Arabidopsis thaliana: one gene and its partners. Each later gene encodes a partner of the first gene's protein in a complex. Each region holds a gene or a part of one and is shown in the gene's direction. Other genes may lie near its edges. The genes, in order: SWP, AT4G09070, AT2G22370 and MED9.

What was found.
Region 2: SWP (region 1) and AT4G09070 share a complex: the UniProt entries of both Arabidopsis thaliana proteins name them as parts of the mediator complex.
Region 3: SWP (region 1) and AT2G22370 share a complex: the UniProt entries of both Arabidopsis thaliana proteins name them as parts of the mediator complex.
Region 4: SWP (region 1) and MED9 share a complex: the UniProt entries of both Arabidopsis thaliana proteins name them as parts of the mediator complex.

What each region holds. Positions count from the first base shown.
Region 1 is NC_003074.8:1,291,822-1,300,154, forward strand, and holds the start of SWP (RNA polymerase II transcription mediator), read left to right. Parts: upstream 1-1,976; 5' UTR 1,977-2,215; coding exon 2,216-2,425; intron 2,426-2,982; coding exon 2,983-4,008; intron 4,009-4,423; coding exon 4,424-4,521; intron 4,522-4,597; coding exon 4,598-4,772; intron 4,773-4,850; coding exon 4,851-5,607; intron 5,608-5,691; coding exon 5,692-6,707; intron 6,708-6,812; coding exon 6,813-7,840; intron 7,841-7,932; coding exon 7,933-8,333. Other genes in the region: RALFL21 (RALF-like 21), read right to left, coding at 587-904. UniProt on the Arabidopsis thaliana protein: Component of the Mediator complex, a coactivator involved in the regulated transcription of nearly all RNA polymerase II-dependent genes.
Region 2 is NC_003075.7:5,800,681-5,804,311, forward strand, and holds AT4G09070 (TATA-binding related factor (TRF) of subunit 20 of Mediator complex), read left to right. Parts: upstream 1-1,627; coding exon 1,628-1,641; intron 1,642-1,740; coding exon 1,741-2,152; intron 2,153-2,478; coding exon 2,479-2,712; downstream 2,713-3,631. UniProt on the Arabidopsis thaliana protein: Component of the Mediator complex, a coactivator involved in the regulated transcription of nearly all RNA polymerase II-dependent genes.
Region 3 is NC_003071.7:9,500,163-9,504,087, reverse strand, and holds AT2G22370 (mediator of RNA polymerase II transcription subunit), read left to right. Parts: upstream 1-1,877; 5' UTR 1,878-2,009; coding exon 2,010-2,051; intron 2,052-2,198; coding exon 2,199-2,298; intron 2,299-2,388; coding exon 2,389-2,446; intron 2,447-2,523; coding exon 2,524-2,880; intron 2,881-2,966; coding exon 2,967-3,069; 3' UTR 3,070-3,304; downstream 3,305-3,925. Other genes in the region: AT2G22360 (DNAJ heat shock family protein), read right to left, coding at 3,629-3,925. UniProt on the Arabidopsis thaliana protein: Component of the Mediator complex, a coactivator involved in the regulated transcription of nearly all RNA polymerase II-dependent genes.
Region 4 is NC_003070.9:20,552,057-20,555,850, reverse strand, and holds MED9 (mediator of RNA polymerase II transcription subunit-like protein), read left to right. Parts: upstream 1-1,596; 5' UTR 1,597-1,676; coding exon 1,677-2,150; intron 2,151-2,219; coding exon 2,220-2,282; intron 2,283-2,367; coding exon 2,368-2,448; coding exon of another isoform or gene 2,449-2,527; coding exon 2,528-2,586; intron 2,587-2,672; coding exon 2,673-2,730; 3' UTR 2,731-2,946; downstream 2,947-3,794. Other genes in the region: AT1G55090 (carbon-nitrogen hydrolase family protein), read right to left, coding at 29-252, 334-639, 801-994; AT1G55070 (F-box and associated interaction domains-containing protein), read right to left, coding at 3,218-3,794. UniProt on the Arabidopsis thaliana protein: Component of the Mediator complex, a coactivator involved in the regulated transcription of nearly all RNA polymerase II-dependent genes.

The sequences.
Region 1 (8,333 bases):
TAAAATTATAACAGCATAATGATCATCAACATCATTTATTGCTAAACATCATCATGTTCATGCCCCCATGCATGATTACGATGGAAGAATCTGACATAAAAAATTGAAGGTCCAAATTGACAACGACTTCATCTTAATCTTATAATCTACATGTCAAGAATTTTATATAAATAAAATTGATTAAATTTATATAGGTGAAAAATTTCATATAAACGTGAGGAGGAGGAGGAGAATGAGATAAAAGGGTCCACCTGGGCCCAAAAACACCAACCCTGTTGAGAGATGTTAGGACCCTCGTGTGGGCTGGGCCCAGTCAAAAATCATTGTCTTGTTGTGTATAACAAACATTACAGGTTCACACGTGTGACACACTAGGTCCTTAAATGCTATGAATATATGTGATCTGATTTGTTTTATTTTACCATTAATAAGAAGGAGCTTAAATCGAACAAAACTGAATGATAAAACAAGATTTCACCACTGTATATATCGTAATACAATAATACATGCTGAAAAATATTAAGGTAAATGTGTAGATGTAGAGAACAACATGGCTTAAACACAACCAAACCCATAAATTTATTATTCATGGATATTGGATATATGCATTATATGCATTATTATAAATTAATTGACCTCGTATTAACATTTTTCTAGAAATTGGTGCAGGGGGTGAATCGCGTCTACATCTATGTATTTTACTACATCCCCGTCTGTAAGGATTCACTGGTTGTTCGGAGGGTGCACATGCAGAAGGATACCGATGATGATCACAAGGAAGATCAGGCTTCAACCCTGGATACCCAATTACTTTTCCAACCGTCATGTTCATGCTGCTTATGAACACACATGCTATGAATGTTGCCACTAGCATAAACCTATTTGTTATTTTCATATTGCTCATGATTTGTGTTTATTTATGTGTGTGGGAGAAATATATATTTGTTGGTAAGAATGGTACAGTTCGTGGTATTTATAGTGAATAAATAATTGTGAAAGAGTCTTATACAACTTTTACTTAAAAGGAAATTACAATAGGATGTTGAATTGACCGGTAGAAAATGTACCTACAGAATTCTTTAGTAATACATGTATTATAGATATAGTCCTTTTTTAGCCAAAGTAGTCAAACTAGCTTTTAGATATGCATGTTGTGGTCATAGTAATACTAATACAAAACAGTTTTATAGCCAAAGTAGTCAACAATATTTGAGTTCTATGTACTCTTTTTTTTTTGGTCAAAGAGTTCTATGTACTCTAATATAGTATATCAATATATTAGGTTTCATGTTCTTCCAGTACATGGAGGTGAAAACAAAGCACTTTTTTCTTACAGAAATTTTTTTACATCAATAATATGCAAATATCATAAACTAATAATAATTATAAATACACCAAAATAGTGTGTCAAAATTGGTTGTAGACAACTATTAGAATGAACACATCGCTGGGCTTTTTGGTATTGGGTTCAAAGTATATATAAAAATTCATGCTGGTTCTTTATTTGCCGCCCAACATAAATTAGTTGGACAAGTGAGAAGGCCTTGCTACTCCTACATGCGTTACACTATTACAGTATTACTATTGCTTCATAGAAAAATAAACCTCGTACCAAAATCTCAAATAAGTGTTTCTTGTGGTTCCTTATGAAAAATTGTTATACACTATTACAGTATTACTATTCACCGTTTATTGTCGGAACTCGGAACAACGTTTTCACCGTCCAATTGTTATACACACTATTCACCATATATACATTAATACATCACACATCTTCTACTTAAGAGTGTAGTGTACATTAATGATAATTTTGTAATTAACCTTTTTAATGATGGTTAAAATGTCTAATTAATAATTTAATAGTGACTTACTTGCTTACGTGGATAAAAGAGAGACCCCACACAAAAATTAGATTTTGCCGTCTGTTAAAAAAAAAGGCTTCTTCAGCCGATTTCTCCAAAAATCGTTTTTTTTTTTTTTTTTTTCATCTTCCGTTCAACGTTTTGCGTTCGACTCTTCCCTGACCCCTTTCAATTTTAAACCCTTTTTCTCTGTCTCTCTTGTCCGAATCAAATCCGGTTGCTGGAAAAGGGAAGCTTTGTGCTTTTGTCGTCGTGGTGGGGGAAGCGGAGGATAAGAACCCTAATTTTTTACGAATCGTGAGATCTCCTAAGTTTCTGAATCGGGTGGTGGCGATTTTGTTTCTTTCTCCGCGATGGCGGAATTAGGGCAACAGACGGTGGATTTCTCTGCTCTTGTTGGTCGAGCCGCAGAGGAATCGTTCCTTTCTTTTAAGGAACTTGTGGATAAGTCTAAGTCGACGGAGCTTTCTGATACTGAGAAGAAGGTTAGCCTCCTTAAGTATGTCGCTAAGACTCAGCAACGGATGCTCCGCCTCAATGCCCTCGCCAAGTGGTGTAAACAGGTTTGTCTTTCTCTGTTTCTCGCTAAGTATTAACGTTTTGGGTCTGTGGGTCGAAGTGAAAGTTTGAAGCTTTCTTGGACTGGAATTGGATATGTTGCAAGATTAGGGTTTGGTTTTGTTGATTGCATGATCTATTAGTTTTAAACACATTTCCCGTGGATATAGTTTTGATGTTTGTAGGATGATTTACAGACTTTGAATGGAATTGGAAGATCCTTTTGTGTGATCTTGTCCTTGATGGGTTTTTGTTGTTTGGATTACGTTGCTTGTCTACTAAAGTTTAGATTTGTCTCTTAAATTCCATGGAACTTCACATTCCAAGTAGGCTTATCAATGTTATCATGTACTTCTGTTATTTCTGCATATTTTAAGAAATTTATGACTGTAGTGTCTCTGTAAAAATTCAAGGTAGTTTACTTCAGATCAACGTTCCATTTTAAAAAATTATGATTTCATAGATTGTTGATGCTTGCTTGTGTTCACTTTCTTTACAGAGTAAGTATTCGAAAATTTATTGAGCTATTTATTCATTTTTGGCTAAACCTCCTGGGCTGCAGGTTCCTCTTATAAACTACTTTCAAGACCTTGGGAGTACATTATCAGCTCATGACATATGCTTCACACAAGCTGCGGATTCGCTGTTTTTTATGCATGAAGGTCTACAGCAAGCTCGCGCTCCTGTCTATGACGTTCCCTCTGCTGTTGAGATTTTGCTGACAGGTTCTTATCAGCGCCTGCCAAAGTGTCTAGATGATGTGGGCATGCAGAGCTCTTTGGATGAGCATCAACAGAAACCAGCTCTAAGAAAGCTGGAGGTACTTGTACGTTCCAAACTGCTTGAAATCACACTTCCAAAAGAAATAACAGAGGTGAAAATTTCTAAAGGTACAGTTACCTTATCTGTCGATGGGGAATTTAAAGTTCTTGTTACTCTTGGTTACCGAGGGCACCTATCCATGTGGCGGATATTGCATTTGGATCTACTTGTTGGTGAAAGAAGTGGCCCCATTAAACTTGAAGTGACAAGACGGCATATCCTTGGAGATGATTTAGAGCGTCGAATGTCCGTGGCAGAAAATCCATTCACAATTTTATATGCGGTGCTCCATGAGCTGTGCGTTGCCATTGTCATGGACACAGTCATAAGACAGGTCCGAGCTCTTCTGCAGGGGAGATGGAAAGATGCAATTCGCTTCGACTTAATTTCAGATACTGGTACCACACCAGCGAACCAAGAAGGAGAGGCAGATTCTGTTAGTCTTCGAACGCCAGGAATGAAACTTTTTTACTGGTCAGATTCTGATAAAAATTCTGGCCCATTTATTAAAATTGAACCAGGGTCAGATCTCCAGATTAAATGTTCTCACAGCACATTTGTAATTGACCCACTTACTGGCAAGGAAGCTGAGTTTTCTCTCGACCAGAGCTGCATTGACGTGGAGAAGCTTCTGCTTAAAGCTATATGCTGTAATAGATATACCCGTCTTCTTGAAATTCAGAAAGAGCTTTTGAGGAATACTCGTATTTGTCGAACTCCAAGTGATGTGATCCTTCAAGCCCTCCTGGATGAGCCTGGTATTGAGGTAAAGAAAGAGTTGTTTTCGGCTTAATGTTGAATATTTTGTTCCTTGAAAGTTGTAGGACTTTTTCCCAGGTCAGAGCTACTTACACTAGTTGGACATTTAGTATGTCACTTGCATGTCAATAGATAGATTTCTGTTTATGACACATAGCCCTTGCTAAATAATGCATAGCTTTCATGCTATAGACCATGAGATTAAGCATTAATAATCGCAAATTTAAATTTCAGAGATGGCCGAACCTAGGTTTCGATAATTTATATTTTTTCGAAAAAGTAGTTTAATTTTTGCAGTTCACATGGCCTATTGCCTAGCTTCTTTTGGCTGGGGAGCTAGTATAGTTAGGCCATATTTCTCTTGCTGTCTCAACAACTAATTGAATTTAATTGGATCATTTTCTCTTTCGCCATTCTTTTAGGGAGATAACATGGTAGACTCTAAAGAGCGAGTAGAGCCAGAGGTCTTACGAGTGCGAGCCTATGGATCTTCATTTTTCACACTGGGGATAAATATAAGGTATGATATCTTCATCTATGTATTGGGAGAGATCTTATTTTAGCTGACTATTCTCACTATATGTTATTGATTGCAGGACTGGTCGGTTTCTTCTACAGTCATCCAAGAGTATCTTGACCTCCTCCATCTTGGAGGAATTTGAAGATGCGTTAAACCAAGGAAGTATATCTGCAGTTGATGCCTTTATCAACTTGAGAAGCAAAAGTATTTTGCATTTTTTTGCTGCTATTGGCAAATTTTTGGGTCTTGAGGTAGTAATTGTTTGCCTCAGCTTGTTGTTCAAATTCACTCTCTGGAGTTGGGAGTGTTGACGTTTGCGTTTAATGCAGGTCTATGAACATGGTTTTGGTATAAACAAAGTTCCTAAAAGCCTCTTGGATGGGTCAAGCATTCTGACTTTGGGATTCCCTGACTGTGAAAGCTCTCACCTTTTGCTAATGGAGCTCGAAAAGGACTTCACACCATTGTTTAAATTACTGGAAACTCAGATGGATGGTTCGGGAAAACCTCAGTCTTTCAATGATCCAAGCAATATTTTGCGAGCTAAGAAAATTGATATAGGGCAGATACGGATTCTCGAAGATGATCTTAACTTGATTACATCCGATGTGGTTAAATTTGTATCTTCATTCTCGGATGCTGAGGGCATAAATCAAGCATCTGGACACCGTCAGCCTGGATTGGTTGACGAGGCTTTGACAGAAATGAGTGGAAGCCAGTTGAGTTTCTCTAGTGTCGTAGATGGAGTGTTTGGACTTCAGAAAGTGACATCTGCTCTTATGTCAATTGATGGACATGGTTTAGTTCCCAAAAATCTCTCTGCTGTTACCGGCCATGGAAAAGCTCCAATGTTGACTAGCTATCATTCAGATTCCTTGTATAATCGACAGGGTCCCTTACAATCTAGCTCTTATAATATGTTATCATCTCCCCCTGGGAAGGGTTCAGCTATGAAGAAGATAGCCATCTCTAACTCTGACCAGGAGTTATCCCTGATACTGTCTCCATCCCTCTCTACTGGGAATGGAGTCTCTGAGTCAGGCTCTAGACTGGTCACTGAATCCTCATTGTCACCTCTTCCCCTATGTAAGAACATTTTTCCATAGCCTTTTTTTTTACCTTCATAGAACTTTCTCAATATTAGAATTCAAAAATTTCCGTTATTTGCAGCTCAAACAGCTGATCTTGCAACATCATCTGCTGGTCCTTTGTTAAGGAAAGATCAGAAGCCCCGGAAACGTTCAGCTTCAGATTTGCTAAGATTGATCCCATCCCTCCAGGTAGTGGAAGGTGTTGCTAGTCCCAATAAGAGAAGAAAAACCTCTGAACTGGTACAGAGTGAATTAGTGAAGAGTTGGAGCCCTGCATCACAGACCTTATCCACTGCCGTGTCAACATCAACAAAAACTATAGGATGCAGCTATGGGAATCTCATAGCTGAAGCAAACAAGGGGAATGCACCTTCAAGCGTTTTTGTTTATGCTCTTCTCCATGTGGTCAGGCATTCTTCGTTGTCCATAAAGCATGCCAAACTAACTAGTCAGATGGAGGCATTGGATATTCAATATGTTGAGGAAATGGGACTAAGAGATGCATTTTCAGATATATGGTTCAGGCTTCCATTTGCTCAAAATGATTCCTGGCAACATATATGCTTGCAGCTTGGTAGACCTGGAAGCATGTGTTGGGATGTGAAAATAAATGACCAACACTTTAGGGATCTCTGGGAACTTCAAAAGGGAAGTAAAACCACACCATGGGGTTCTGGAGTTCACATTGCGAATTCATCTGATGTTGATTCTCATATCCGTTATGACCCTGAAGGTGTTGTTCTGAGCTATCAGTCTGTGGAAGCCGATAGTATAAAGAAGCTTGTGGCCGACATACAAAGGCTTTCAAATGCTAGAATGTTCTCCCTTGGTATGCGGAAACTACTTGGCATAAAGCCAGATGAAAAAACAGAAGAGTGCAGTGCTAATTCCACTATGAAAGGATCTACTGGAGGAAAAGGCAGTGGTGAGCCAGTAGATAGGTGGAGAGCTTTCAAGATTGAGGCTGTGGGATTAACAAGCCTGTGGTTTAGCTTTGGTTCAGGCGTTTTGGCGCGTTTTGTTGTCGAGTGGGAATCAGGTAAAGATGGATGCACCATGCATGTCTCTCCTGACCAACTATGGCCACATACAAAGGTGAGTAGTTCGCAGGACTTAACATTTGCTCTCTTCATGGGAAATATTTTTATTATAAGAGTTCCAAATATATGCTTTTTCTCATCGTGAGTTACTCTTGTACAGTTCTTGGAGGATTTCATAAACGGAGCAGAGGTAGAATCCCTTTTGGATTGCATTCGCCTTACTGCTGGGCCTTTGCATGCATTAGCTGCCGCTACTCGCCCTGCCCGAGCTAGTACTGCCACTGGCATGCCTGTTGTACCTGCTACAGCGTCTTCAAGACAATCAAATCAGATACAACAAACTCAAGGAATCATTGCCCCTTCAACTTTAGCAGCTCCTAATGCTACTGGCCAGTCTGCCTCAGCAACTTCAGGAAATACTGTTGCTTCTTCTGCTCCAAGCCCACTTGGTGGAGGTTTCCATGGAGTTGCAATGCTAGCAGCTGCAGGGAGAAGCGGACCTGGCATCGTTCCAAGCTCTCTCTTGCCCATCGATGTCTCTGTAGTACTCCGTGGACCCTATTGGATAAGGATCATATACCGTAAACGTTTTGCAGTAGACATGAGATGTTTTGCTGGAGATCAAGTCTGGTTGCAGCCAGCAACTCCACCCAAGGGTGGTGCTTCTATTGGAGGCTCCTTGCCATGTCCCCAATTCAGACCTTTCATCATGGAGCATGTTGCTCAAGAATTGAACGGTTTAGAACCAAATTTGACAGGTAGCCAAGGAGCAACAAATCCCAACAGTGGAAACCCAACTGTTAACGGTGTGAACAGAGTTAACTTTTCCCCTTCTAGTGCAAGAGCTGCAATGAATCGAGTAGCCAGTGTTGCTTCAGGATCTTTAGTGGTTAGCTCAGGATTGCCTGTGCGTAGAACACCAGGCACTGCTGTACCAGCGCATGTAAGAGGTGAATTAAACACAGCGATAATCGGTTTAGGTGATGACGGTGGCTATGGCGGAGGATGGGTTCCTCTTGTGGCTCTTAAAAAGGTTTTGCGTGGTATCCTTAAATATCTTGGAGTACTGTGGCTATTTGCTCAGTTACCAGATCTCTTAAGAGAGATCTTGGGTTCCATCTTGAAGGATAACGAAGGCGCTCTCTTGAATTTAGACCAAGAACAACCAGCCTTACGCTTCTTTGTCGGGTAAGCCAAACCAAGAAACTTATGCTCAATCTTGAAGGATTATGCTTAAGCTTATCTATTGTTTTGTTTTTTTGTTGTTTTTGTTTTTGCAGTGGCTATGTGTTTGCGGTGAGTGTCCATAGAGTTCAGCTCCTTCTTCAAGTCCTTAGCGTAAGGCGATTCCATCACCAAGCACAACAAAATGGTTCTTCTGCTGCGGCTCAAGAGGAGTTAACCCAATCCGAGATTGGAGAAATCTGCGATTATTTCAGCCGCCGTGTCGCATCAGAACCGTATGATGCCTCAAGAGTTGCCTCTTTCATAACACTCCTCACGTTACCCATATCGGTCTTGAGAGAGTTTCTGAAACTGATAGCTTGGAAAAAAGGATTATCCCAATCACAACAAGCTGGAGAGATTGCTCCTGCACAGAGACCTCGAATCGAGCTATGTCTAGAGAACCATTCTGGTACAGATTTAGACAACAATTGTGCAGCTAAAAGCAATATCCATT
Region 2 (3,631 bases), on another chromosome or scaffold:
TTATCAACTAAGTAATTATTTTTCCTCTATTTTCAGCTCAATTTTTTTTATTGGTTTATTTTTATTTTTTCATCTTGACTAGTATTAAGCAAAAGCGTATCATTCAATTATATAATTGTATCAATTTCCAATTTATTTCTATATAAATTTTTCATTTTTTGAGTGTACTAGGATAAAAAAAAATTATATCATTGGGTGGAATGAAACCTTAATGTTTCATGACTATGCATAAAAAATGAACGAAAGATGAGAAGAAACATGAATCAAACCTTTATTTTTATTTAGATGATTAGATGAGATATATACATTAGGAATTTTGATTCGTTCAGTTAATTTTGTTCAGTTTCATAAAATTTAAATTTGATTTAAGGTTCAGTTCCAATAATTCTATTTATAAGATTTTAAACTATTAGTATTATTCGAATTTGGATAAGTTCGGTTAGATTCATTCATGTTTTCACCACTCATTTCCTAAGAAAACCTTTTTAAAAACAAGGTCATTTTAAGAAACACATAATTTTACACGAAGTCGTTTTAAATGAGGTAGTTTAAACGAGGTCGTTTTATCTTAGTAAAACAAACAAACTCCTATGCTTTTCTCTATATAATGCAGTGTACGAGTCTTAATTTTTCGTTATACTACGTATTCCCAAGAAGATCATCACCAGAAATCTCTTTCATCGGTAAGTGTTTCTCGCAATCTAATCTTGTATTTTGTTTTTATGGCTCGATGATTATTAAGCCTAAAAGTCTTTACTATGCCTTCAACTCATCTTTTTAAAATGATTTAGATAAGATAAAGATAAAAAGCATCGTTTTATAAACTAAATATACTTAGAAGCAGAATTGAGTTGTTTATCCGAGATGTATGAATTTTATATTTAGATTGTATTCAAGAAGTGATATATTTCATATTTGATTCGTTTAGTTAATCTGTTGTCGATCTACTACTATCACAGAACGTGTGATCCCAAACGGATACTCATAGCAGATCTAATGAATTTCTTTAGTTTTTGTAAAAAAATGTTTCTTATTTTTCAATTAATTTTGGTAAATAATTTAATTATAACATTAATTTCTTAGATTTGTTTCCTTTTTATTTAAAGTCAAAAGTTACTTTATTTTTTTCTTATAAGAATTTATATTTTCTTCCCTTTTATCTTGATAAGGGTGAGTACACTTATGTAATTGTGCACATGCACTAAAATATCTAATTATTCTCTATGTTATAATTATTTATTAAAAAATGAAATTTGTATTATGATTCCAAAGTTGATGCATATGTATTATTTTTGGTCTGTAAATTACTTTTAAAAATAAATTTTCCTTTCCATATAGACCACGTTCTATTTCAAATGAAAGAAATGATTAAAAAAATGAACTCCATTTGAGCATTTAAATGTATTTTCCTTATGAACACTGATTGAAATTCTATCAAAAAGTATTTTTTGATTAAATAATTTTTTGCTTTATTGTAAAGTTTTATCATTTTGTTTTTTGGTAAATTATATATCTGAATACAACTATATTATATAAGATATTATTGTTTGTGTATTATTGTAAATTAATAGAGATCATTTTTTTTTAATTTTGTTGTCAAGTGAAATTTGTTGTACCTCCATTAGCCATGCCCGTCAAATGGTAGGTTTGATGATTACATAAACTAAATAACCATTATTGTAATTTCTTTTATAATACGTTAACCTTTTTTCAAATTTCTTTGGGGGAATACTTTTCCAGGCTTTTGCATTGGCAACCAAATCAGGGATCAACATTTAGCAGCCAAATCCTAAACGAAGTAACACAAAGCATAGAGAGTCTCAATGGCGTCAAAGAGGGAACATGGAAAGCCACTCTCAACTATTACAAACCCATGTTGCAAGATCAGGCGAATCAAGCTGAGTTCCCGCGTGAATTTGTAGGAATTTCGCTTCCGGAGGAGCCAGATAAGTACTATTTCGTCATCAGGTCGCAAAGGATCGTCGTGGAAGCAGATTCTTCAATTCAAATGATCATGGAGAGCCTTCAGTCTTACAAATGCAAACTCTCGTTTTACTTTGAAGGGCTTGAGTATCAACTTGGGGATTTTCGTTTGAGAGTTGGTAAAGTTGTTCCTACTCATGCTGAGACCATTAGAGGCGTAGTCATGGAGGTAACAAATTTTATATCTTTTGAGTACGTTGAGATATATTAATAATCAATGTTAATGATTATCTAACACTCTAGTTAATTCATAATTTGGAGTTTGTAATGTAACTCAGTAACTAAAGGTTATTAGCTATGATTGGTAACACACATAATGACGGTTTCTAATGTGATTAGGCAGAAAATTTGTCAATTAAGAAAATTTGCATAATCTACGGTTTTCCATGCAACAAGTTTTCATTATACGAATTTTTAGTGCTATCAACTTATGCCATTATGCTATTATGCACTACTTTCATTTGAAACCTATAATTATGTGTGTGTACTATTTAGGTGGAGTATCTTCCTATATCATCAATGGGAATGGCAAAAAAATTGATGGAGGAGTTCTTGGAGATATGGCAAGAAGCTATGTCGAAAAGGTCGTTGCCGGGTAAGTTTGTGAACAAAGAACTCAACTTTGAAAAGTTTGGACTTGGAGACAACTACACTCCGCAACATACCGCTGTTGGATATGCTTTCTTCATGGCTAATTTGATGGCAGCAATTCAAGCTGGGAGAGGCTAAAGATAATACAACAAAGACTTTTATGAGTTTTTGTGGTATCATTGATTTTAGAAGTCATTAAGGATTGAAAAACAAATGGTAGTTTTAAAAAGTTGGAAGACCAATTTGTAAACTTGAGATTGGAGCAGATTGTGAATTCAGTTTCTTACCAACTTTTTGGTTTGTTTTATGACTGTGAAAACTTTATGAATCTTTTGACCCTAAACTCAATTACTGGTCACTTGTGTCTATAAAATGCATAAATAAAGCGAAAATGTTGGATTACGATTGGGCTTAGTGTTAGTTATTTGGGTCAGTCATTGAGTTGGGCTTAAGGCCCATAAATGAGAAGAATCCCAAATGCAGAATCAAAACGCAAAGAAGTTTTGGCGGTTGCGATTGCATGTTTTCTTCCAAACAGAGCTTACCGGTAGTAACAAACAATATAGAGAGAAAGAAGTGTGAGAGCTACAAGTTTGAAGAAATCGAGTAGAGAGAGAGACAGATCTAGATTCTTCTTCTTCTTCGTCTTCTTCGTCAACCTCTAGAAGACTCGTGTAGGTACGTAGCTTTGAATCTCTTCTTCTGTAACCTGAAATTTTGTTAATTCCTCTTGAGAGTGAAGCATTATCGAGTTTGATCTTCGAGAAATTGTACATAAATCGCTTGTTTCTCTCGTGTTCTTTCTTTGTACTGATTTCAAAACTTGAATCGCAAAGAACAAGCGATAAGATCAAAATCAACTACCAAAATCACTACAGAGAGCTATTTTTCTTTGGATTTTGGTTTTAAACATGTGTTTGATTACGATTCCAGACTGAAATTTGTATCTGAGTCAGTGGATTTTTTGGTGTTGCCTTGTTGATTCGTTCACGTTGTAGTAGTAGATTTCAGAATTTTGCTTTCGTTGCTTTGAGTTTAGCTTAGGATTTGGCTTTTA
Region 3 (3,925 bases), on another chromosome or scaffold:
CCATGCACAATGATTAGCCACTTGGATGTGAATGTGATCATCACTACATAATTTGATTCTTCAGGAGAATGCTATAACAACACATTACAATGTTGCCGAAGAACAAAATCGAACAATTCCAACACTAATGGTCCAACTTCTAAAAGAGTCGATTACTCTCTAGTCAAAATGAGGTCACTCTCAGGTACACACGAAGATCAAAATCGAAATTGAACAGCAACACTGTAACATCATCGAGTTCGAAGCAATATTTTATCCATTGTTAAATCAGAGAAGATAGAACTAAGATCGGAGAAGGATATAGTACCGTTTCTGGCCTGCGATGTCCCAGATCTGAGCTTTGATGTTCTTATCGTCAATAACGAGCGTTCGAGTATTGAAATCGACACCGAATTGTGGCTTTGGAATCCATACTGAATTCGTCTCTTGTGAACCGAGCTCGTAGCTGTGACTTCCCAACCGCTGAATCTCCGTTCAAAACAACCTTGAATACGTAGTCAACCTCTTCTTCAGCCATCTTCTTCTTCGCTCGCAGTCGGCGATCGAACGACGTCGATTTTCTCGCTGTTTTTACACTCTCCGGTGGACTGAGAGATTAAACTAATCGTAGGGTTAAAATGTAATCCTCTACGGTAGAGAGTACTAGAGTGTATGGTAGTCAAAGTCGTCATACGTGGATTTGATTAATGATTGCTACACGTGTATCGCATTGATAGGTTCTCTTGCTCGGATCACTAATACATAAACTTGGATACAACCCAAAGCTTGACCTATTTTTGTTGAACACCTTTTTGTTTTTATATTTTTCATCCTCTGAAACAAGTCCATAGACTCTTGTATTAATATATCCTGATGATATTTGGTTTTACATTTGCATCTTGTATCATTGTAAACAATTCATAAGCCTTCCCACAAAAGCATGCTTGGCATTTGACAATTGGCAATTCATAAATGATGCATTATAAGCATAAATATCAACTTGGATATTCAACTTGGCCCGTGTATTATGCTACCTCTACAAATTTGGTGAGGTAGGTTAAAATGAGGCCGGTTTGAGTTACCGGTATATTAGACGAGCATTAACATGATTACACACTTGAGGATATTATTGACGAATGAAGAAACTAAAATGGTTTAGTTAATGCAAAATTGAGGATTCATTCGTCTATTGAAATAGAGAAGAATTGTTTGAGGCTAAAATAAATATATTTACATTTTTCCTATTCTCCTCCAAACTTTTCGTAAACATGGTTATTTGACTTATTTTTGAACTTTTTATCTAATAATTTAAAGGATTGTGGTGATGTAGTGGCCACTTAATCTACACAACATCGCAATAATTTTGACAAAATTTTCTACATATTTCTTGTCAACAATTATAAGGAATTAACACATTCTACTTAGTAGACATTTACAGTAATCACAACCAAGATGAAATAACCATATATAAATATCATTTGCTATGTTCATAAACTTTATCGAAACTAGTTGACTTCTTAAAATGCCAACTAATTAGGTTAGGGTTCATGAACTTTTTAGCAAAGATAGCACAAACTAAATTCTATCTTCAACCTAACTAATGACGGTTTACTCCGGTTAACCGGTGGTTATGTTCTCATCATGCGGCCAACTAAGCTAATGGGCTATTTGGTGATCACTAATCAATGACCGAGATGCACTAGAGTTTTTATTATGATCGAGTTCCCAAAAAAGGGGCAACAAGAAAAAACGAAATGGCCTATACAGGGATCGAACCTGTGACCTTCGCGTTATTAGCACGACGCTCTAACCAACTGAGCTAATAGGCCATCTTGCTTTATCTACAGCTAACTACTATATAACAACTACACAAGTGATTCTAGTAACTAGCTAAAATTCTCCGGTGTTAAAAAATCTCAGATTCGCTCCCGAGGACGATTTAGGAAGCTTTCGTTAGTTTTTCCAATTTCGGATTTGGTCTTGTTGAGAATATATTTACGATTTTAATTGAGAGATTTTGTGATAGCTCAATGTCAATGGAGTGTGTGGTTCAAGGAATCATCGAGACACAGGTTCGTTTGTATTTTTTGATTGACGAACAAATCCCAAGTTTTTCGAGTTCATGGATCAGCTTTTAGCTTTCTTATGATGTCCAATTGATAAACCCTAGGCTTGAATTTTTATTAGAATTTGATTAGATTTTCTACTGGATTTTGCAGCATGTTGAAGCTCTTGAGATTCTTCTTCAAGGTCTTTGTGGTGTTCAACGCGAACGTTTAAGAGTTCATGAGTTATGCTTAAGAAGCGGCCCAAATCTTGGTAAAGCCAATTCCTTTTGTTAAATTCAGAAACTTGAAGCTTCCTATGAATCATACATGATTCACATTTGTGAAATCTTCACTTTTTCAGGAGTTGTGTCATCAGAAGTTAGGCTATTATGTGATCTTGATCAACCCGAACCCACATGGTACAGCTTCTTCTTGTTGTTGTTGTTGTTGTATATGTTCTTGTTTCATTCAAAGGAAGCTAATTTAAGAACCATAGGACGGTTAAACATGTTGGTGGTGCGATGAGAGGTGCAGGAGCTGATCAAATCTCTGTTTTGGTTAGAAATATGATTGAAAGTAAAGTAAGCAAGAATGCTTTGCGTATGTTCTATGCACTCGGTTACAAACTAGACCATGAGCTTCTCAAAGTCGGATTCGCCTTTCATTTCCAACGGACTGCGCACATAAGTGTTTCTGTATCTTCTGTTAATAAGATGCCTAAAGTTCATGCTATAGATGAGGCTGTTCCTGTAACACCTGGTATGCAGATTGTTGATGTAACTGCTCCTGCAACTTCTGAGAATTACAGTGAAGTCGCTGCTGCTGTTTCATCTTTCTGTGAATTTCTTGCTCCGTAAGTTCATCTGATATATTTTACAGCACCTGTGATAGTGTCTTTGATATAAGCTTCATCAGTGATATGATTCCTTGTGTTTTCAGGCTTGTTCACTTGTCGAAACCGTCTATCTCCACGGGGGTTGTGCCAACCGCTGCTGCGGCGGCTGCATCTCTTATGTCGGATGGAGGAGGTACTACATTGTAAGAAGTTTGAAGTTAAAAACAACTGTTCTTGTGTTCTCTCTTGTTAGATCTTTTGGTCCAATCTAGTCAATTTTCCAGATTACACAATGGTTGTGAAATCTTGTGAACCATTAGAGTTAAGTATTATTTAATGAGAATCAGTAAGGGATCTTTAATAAATATTCTTTATAAATCACAACTTGCATATGATCTTTGCTCTTCTCTCAACCTTTTGGTATTATGATGTTTCATTGTTGTCACTTGTCAGTAGATTGATAGTTTATGAAGCTTCGAACATGATTAAAATAATGTGAATGTCTTTGTGGAATTACATACTATTTTATTTATCATTCAATCACTAATAAATTCCAATTTGAAAGCCTATTAAAACCTAACATATTAAAAATTTGAACCACAAAAAAATGAATTCTAAAATTCTTCCATTTCCACAACAATAATCATCTTCCTCCACTTGCTTCTTCTTTTTTCAAGAGCCATTCTAAATATCACAAGCCAGAGTAGAAAAATGTATATGTATAGAGAGATTCATAATTTCAATGTCAAAATTTTCGTGTTTCTAATCATCTACTGGTGCTATTAGCAGTCTTGTTCTTGCTCATATCAGCAAGCTCTTCAATAAGTTTTTTCTCCTCTTTGCTCAATCTCTTAGGTATCTCCACTTGTACTCTCACCAACTGATCTCCTCTCATATTACTCTTGTTCAATACCGGAACTCCTTTTTTCGCCATCACAAGCGTCGTGCTAGGTTGTGTCCCAGCTGGAACTTTCAAATCTACTGTCCCATCCACTGTTGGTACTTTCAGTGTCGTCCCTAAAATCGCATCGATATACGATATCTTGCAAGTGTAGAGAATATT
Region 4 (3,794 bases), on another chromosome or scaffold:
CAATAATTTTAAGGGTTGTCAAACATACCGTAGTATAAGCGGCTACCATCGCATCCTTGTTGATTACTGTACATATACACCCCACCACGAGCATGAGTAGCCCCCATAAAAGCATTCAGACGAATATCTAGTTTCCTAAGTTGGTGATGACTCCCACTTGCATTCATAAATACTTCAACACCATTCAATGCGAGCTCGGCATGAGGAGGAAGTGGACTAAACAGTTCCTCACAGACTTCAGCTGCAACAGCCCTGATAAGGAAATATAACTGATACAGTTAAGCAGACAAAATCATTGACAGTGTTGAAATGGAAGCATTTATCCAAACTCACGTGTCGATAAACTGGATGTAACCATAACCAAAAGGGACTGATTTCTGCTCCAAAGCCTCTGAAATTTCAATGGGGAGCTGAAATTCCTCTAGCTCTTCTCTCTGCTTCCAAGCTGTGAACCACCGTAGCTCCCTATAGTTTCCATCGTTTGCGAGCCACATTTTCGGTCGAATCATGATGATTCTTCTGTTCATACAGAGAACCTGGCAGTTATAACGCTCTGCTCCTTTAATCACAGGCATTCCTATGCTGCACAAAATATCATCCGTCCAATCACCAAGCAGCAATTCCTTCAAACACTCCCACCTGAAAGAAGATATTCACATGAACATAAGAAGAAACGGTTAAACATGATTCCGATAACTAAATTCAGAAGAAAAAGAAATTAATTCCATCATCTAAAGTGATAGTACCAAGTCATTCATGCCATTCATCATCGAAATAGAAAACTAAAAATAGAAGCTTACGCATGAGTGACAGTGTCGAGTTCCAAGAAGTGATCCTCGCAACCATAGCCAGTGACCTCGAGCTCGGGTCCAAGCCTGATAACAGCACCAGCAGCCTTTGCCTCAGCGATCGAAGCCTTGATGTTCTTCATGTTGCTCTCGAAATCCATGGCCCATTGGTTCAAGTTACACGTAGCAACCTTCAACAGCCTCATCTTCGTCGCCTAAAGAGAAAGACAAGTAAATTTACTGTACATCAAGTAGTGTAAAAAATCTGACTTATCTAAGGCACAAACTTGTTCATGAGAACAGAAGCTGGTTAAATTAGTTAAAGGAACAAACTTTGTATTACTTTGCTAATACTAACAATTCAAATTCAATTTTAACAGCCATAATACACAATATCTGTAACGAAGAACTCGTCAACGCAACACTATTCGATGTGAATCAATTGCCAAAAGAAGAGAAGGAAGAATTGGAGCTTACGTGAATGTGCAAAGAAACCAAGTATCAAAGTCGTGAAATTCGGAGATCGTGAAAATTGAAAACTATGGGAGTTTGTATTTCTTTCAGATGTGAAATTCACAGACTCCAAGTGATTGTGCAGTGCTCGTGCAGAACAGATTGTGACCGACCAAGAAGAACATTCGGTTTGAGAGGAAGAAGAAGAAGAAGAGATTGATACTGAAACGACGGCGTTTTACGATTGTAAATTACAAACAAAACCTTAACTGAGAACAACTTCGTTTTATCATGACACGACATCATTTTTTTTTTTTTTTGGTCAAAACACGACATCGTTTAAGTTCCCACTTTTGTCTCTTCTTCGTTCTTTTAAGTTTTAATAGACGACGACGGCGACGAGAAGGAGAATTAGCGAGATCGGAAGGAGAAAAAATGGATCAATTCTCAGGAGGAGGAGGTAATTGGTCGATGATCCCAAACGTGCAGGCGCAAGGTAACTTCGGTACACCGACGAATCATGACCAGCAACTATTCCTCCAGCAACAACAATTACAACAACAACAACAACAACAACAACAACAACAGTTTCATCTTCAACAACAACAACAGACGCAGCAGCAACAACAACAATTCCAGCCACAACAACAACAAGAGATGCAACAATATCAGCAATTCCAACAACAGCAACACTTCATCCAACAACAGCAATTCCAACAACAACAACGGTTGTTACAATCTCCTCCTCTTCAGCCACAGTCGTTACAATCACCTCCGCCGCAACAGACGATGGTTCACACGCCTCAATCTATGATGCATACACCGCAGCAACAACAACAGTTGGTTCAAACTCCGGTGCAGACTCCTCAACAGCATCAGTCTTTAGCTTCTCATTTCCATCTCTATCCGGTAAGAGAAACAAAGAAAATTGATGAAATTGGAATCGTTGGGGGTTCTAATTTCGTGTTAATGACGCAGATGGTGGAGAAATTAGCTGATGTGATCGAAAATGGAACACGAGATCAGAATTCTGACGCCCTGGTTTGTTAAAAATCAAGTCTTTTAAAGTGGTTTTGAGATTTCTAGGGTTTCTTATTGGATGATGTTGAAATTGTGGGATTTGCAGGTGAATGAATTGAATAGCCATTTCGACAAGTGTCAACAGTTGCTGAATTCGATTTCAGGATCACTAGGATCTAAAACTATGGTAACATTTTGGATCTCTGTATTGGTTCTGTTTAATCTTTTGTTTCTTATGGATCTCTCTCTCTCTCTGTGTTTTATAGACTGTTGATGGCCAAAAGAGAAATGTTGAAGAAAGTGAGCAATTGCTTCAACAGAGAAGGTTAGCTAGATTGTTAGTATCATGTTTTATCTGATCAGATTGTGATCGTGCTCTTACTCTTTTGTTGTTAAATGTCTTCTGGTCAGGGATTTGATTGTGGAGTATAGGAAATCTATTGAAGAGATTGTGACAATGGAGCATTAGTTTCTCATATTTTGATTCAGCAACTGTTTAGCTACTTAAGACCAATAATTGTTATCAATAAACCAATCTTGATTCACATAATAAAGAGAATGTGGTTTTCTTCAAGAAAATTCATTCTTCGGATTACAAATAGATCACAATGCATAATGTGTTTTGTCTGCATCAAACCAAACCAAAATCTTTGTATGTGGGACATGCAACAGAAAGCTCAACCCAAAAACGATATAAGCCCAGGTAGTTGTTGAACATAGTGAGTGGTTTTGTGATTTAGATTCAGAACAGAGTAGAAAAAGCATTGTAGCGACCATGGAAAATTCAACCATTATTCCACAATGATCCTCCAAATATAAAACAAAACACCATTGAAGCCACATCTATTAGTCTTTTAAAAAGAAATAAAAACACCGACTTCTAATCTATCCCTACTCACTATTTTGAAATCATGATAATAGTCTTAAACAGGTAAAAAAAAAACCCAATAAAACACTCACGTAAGCTTCATATTCTCTAGATAGTTTGGAACAGCATGAAACAAAACCCGTTTAGAACCTTGAGATTCTGGAACTTCAACTCTTACTCTTACCACAATGTTCTCCTCGAGATTGTAGTAATAAAGGTAAAAAGGAACTTGTGGATCATAGTGATTTGGGCAGAATACAGCTTCACCTTTACTAGTAACTAAAAAGTTTACATCAATTCCATTGAACTCCGGCCATTGAAGGGGCTTTACGTAGATATGCTTTGACCATTTACGTTCCTGGCCATGCTCTAAAACCCACAACACCAAATCGTTATCATTACTATTTATTGAACCTAATTTACCCTTGTAGTTTATCAGAGAGGGAGGTTTCCAAGTAATAAAACCAAATTTCTCAGACCTAACGTCAAAGCAAACGATCATAGGTCCCAACATAGGTTTCATAGAGGTTGCTGCATAATACAAAACACCTTTGATGCATATCCCCTTATGATAACGGTGGGTATAATAATGTCTGCGACATTGGATCTTCCTCCAAAATAGATTTCTCCTTCCAGTCTCGAATGTGAGAACTTGATGCTGACTA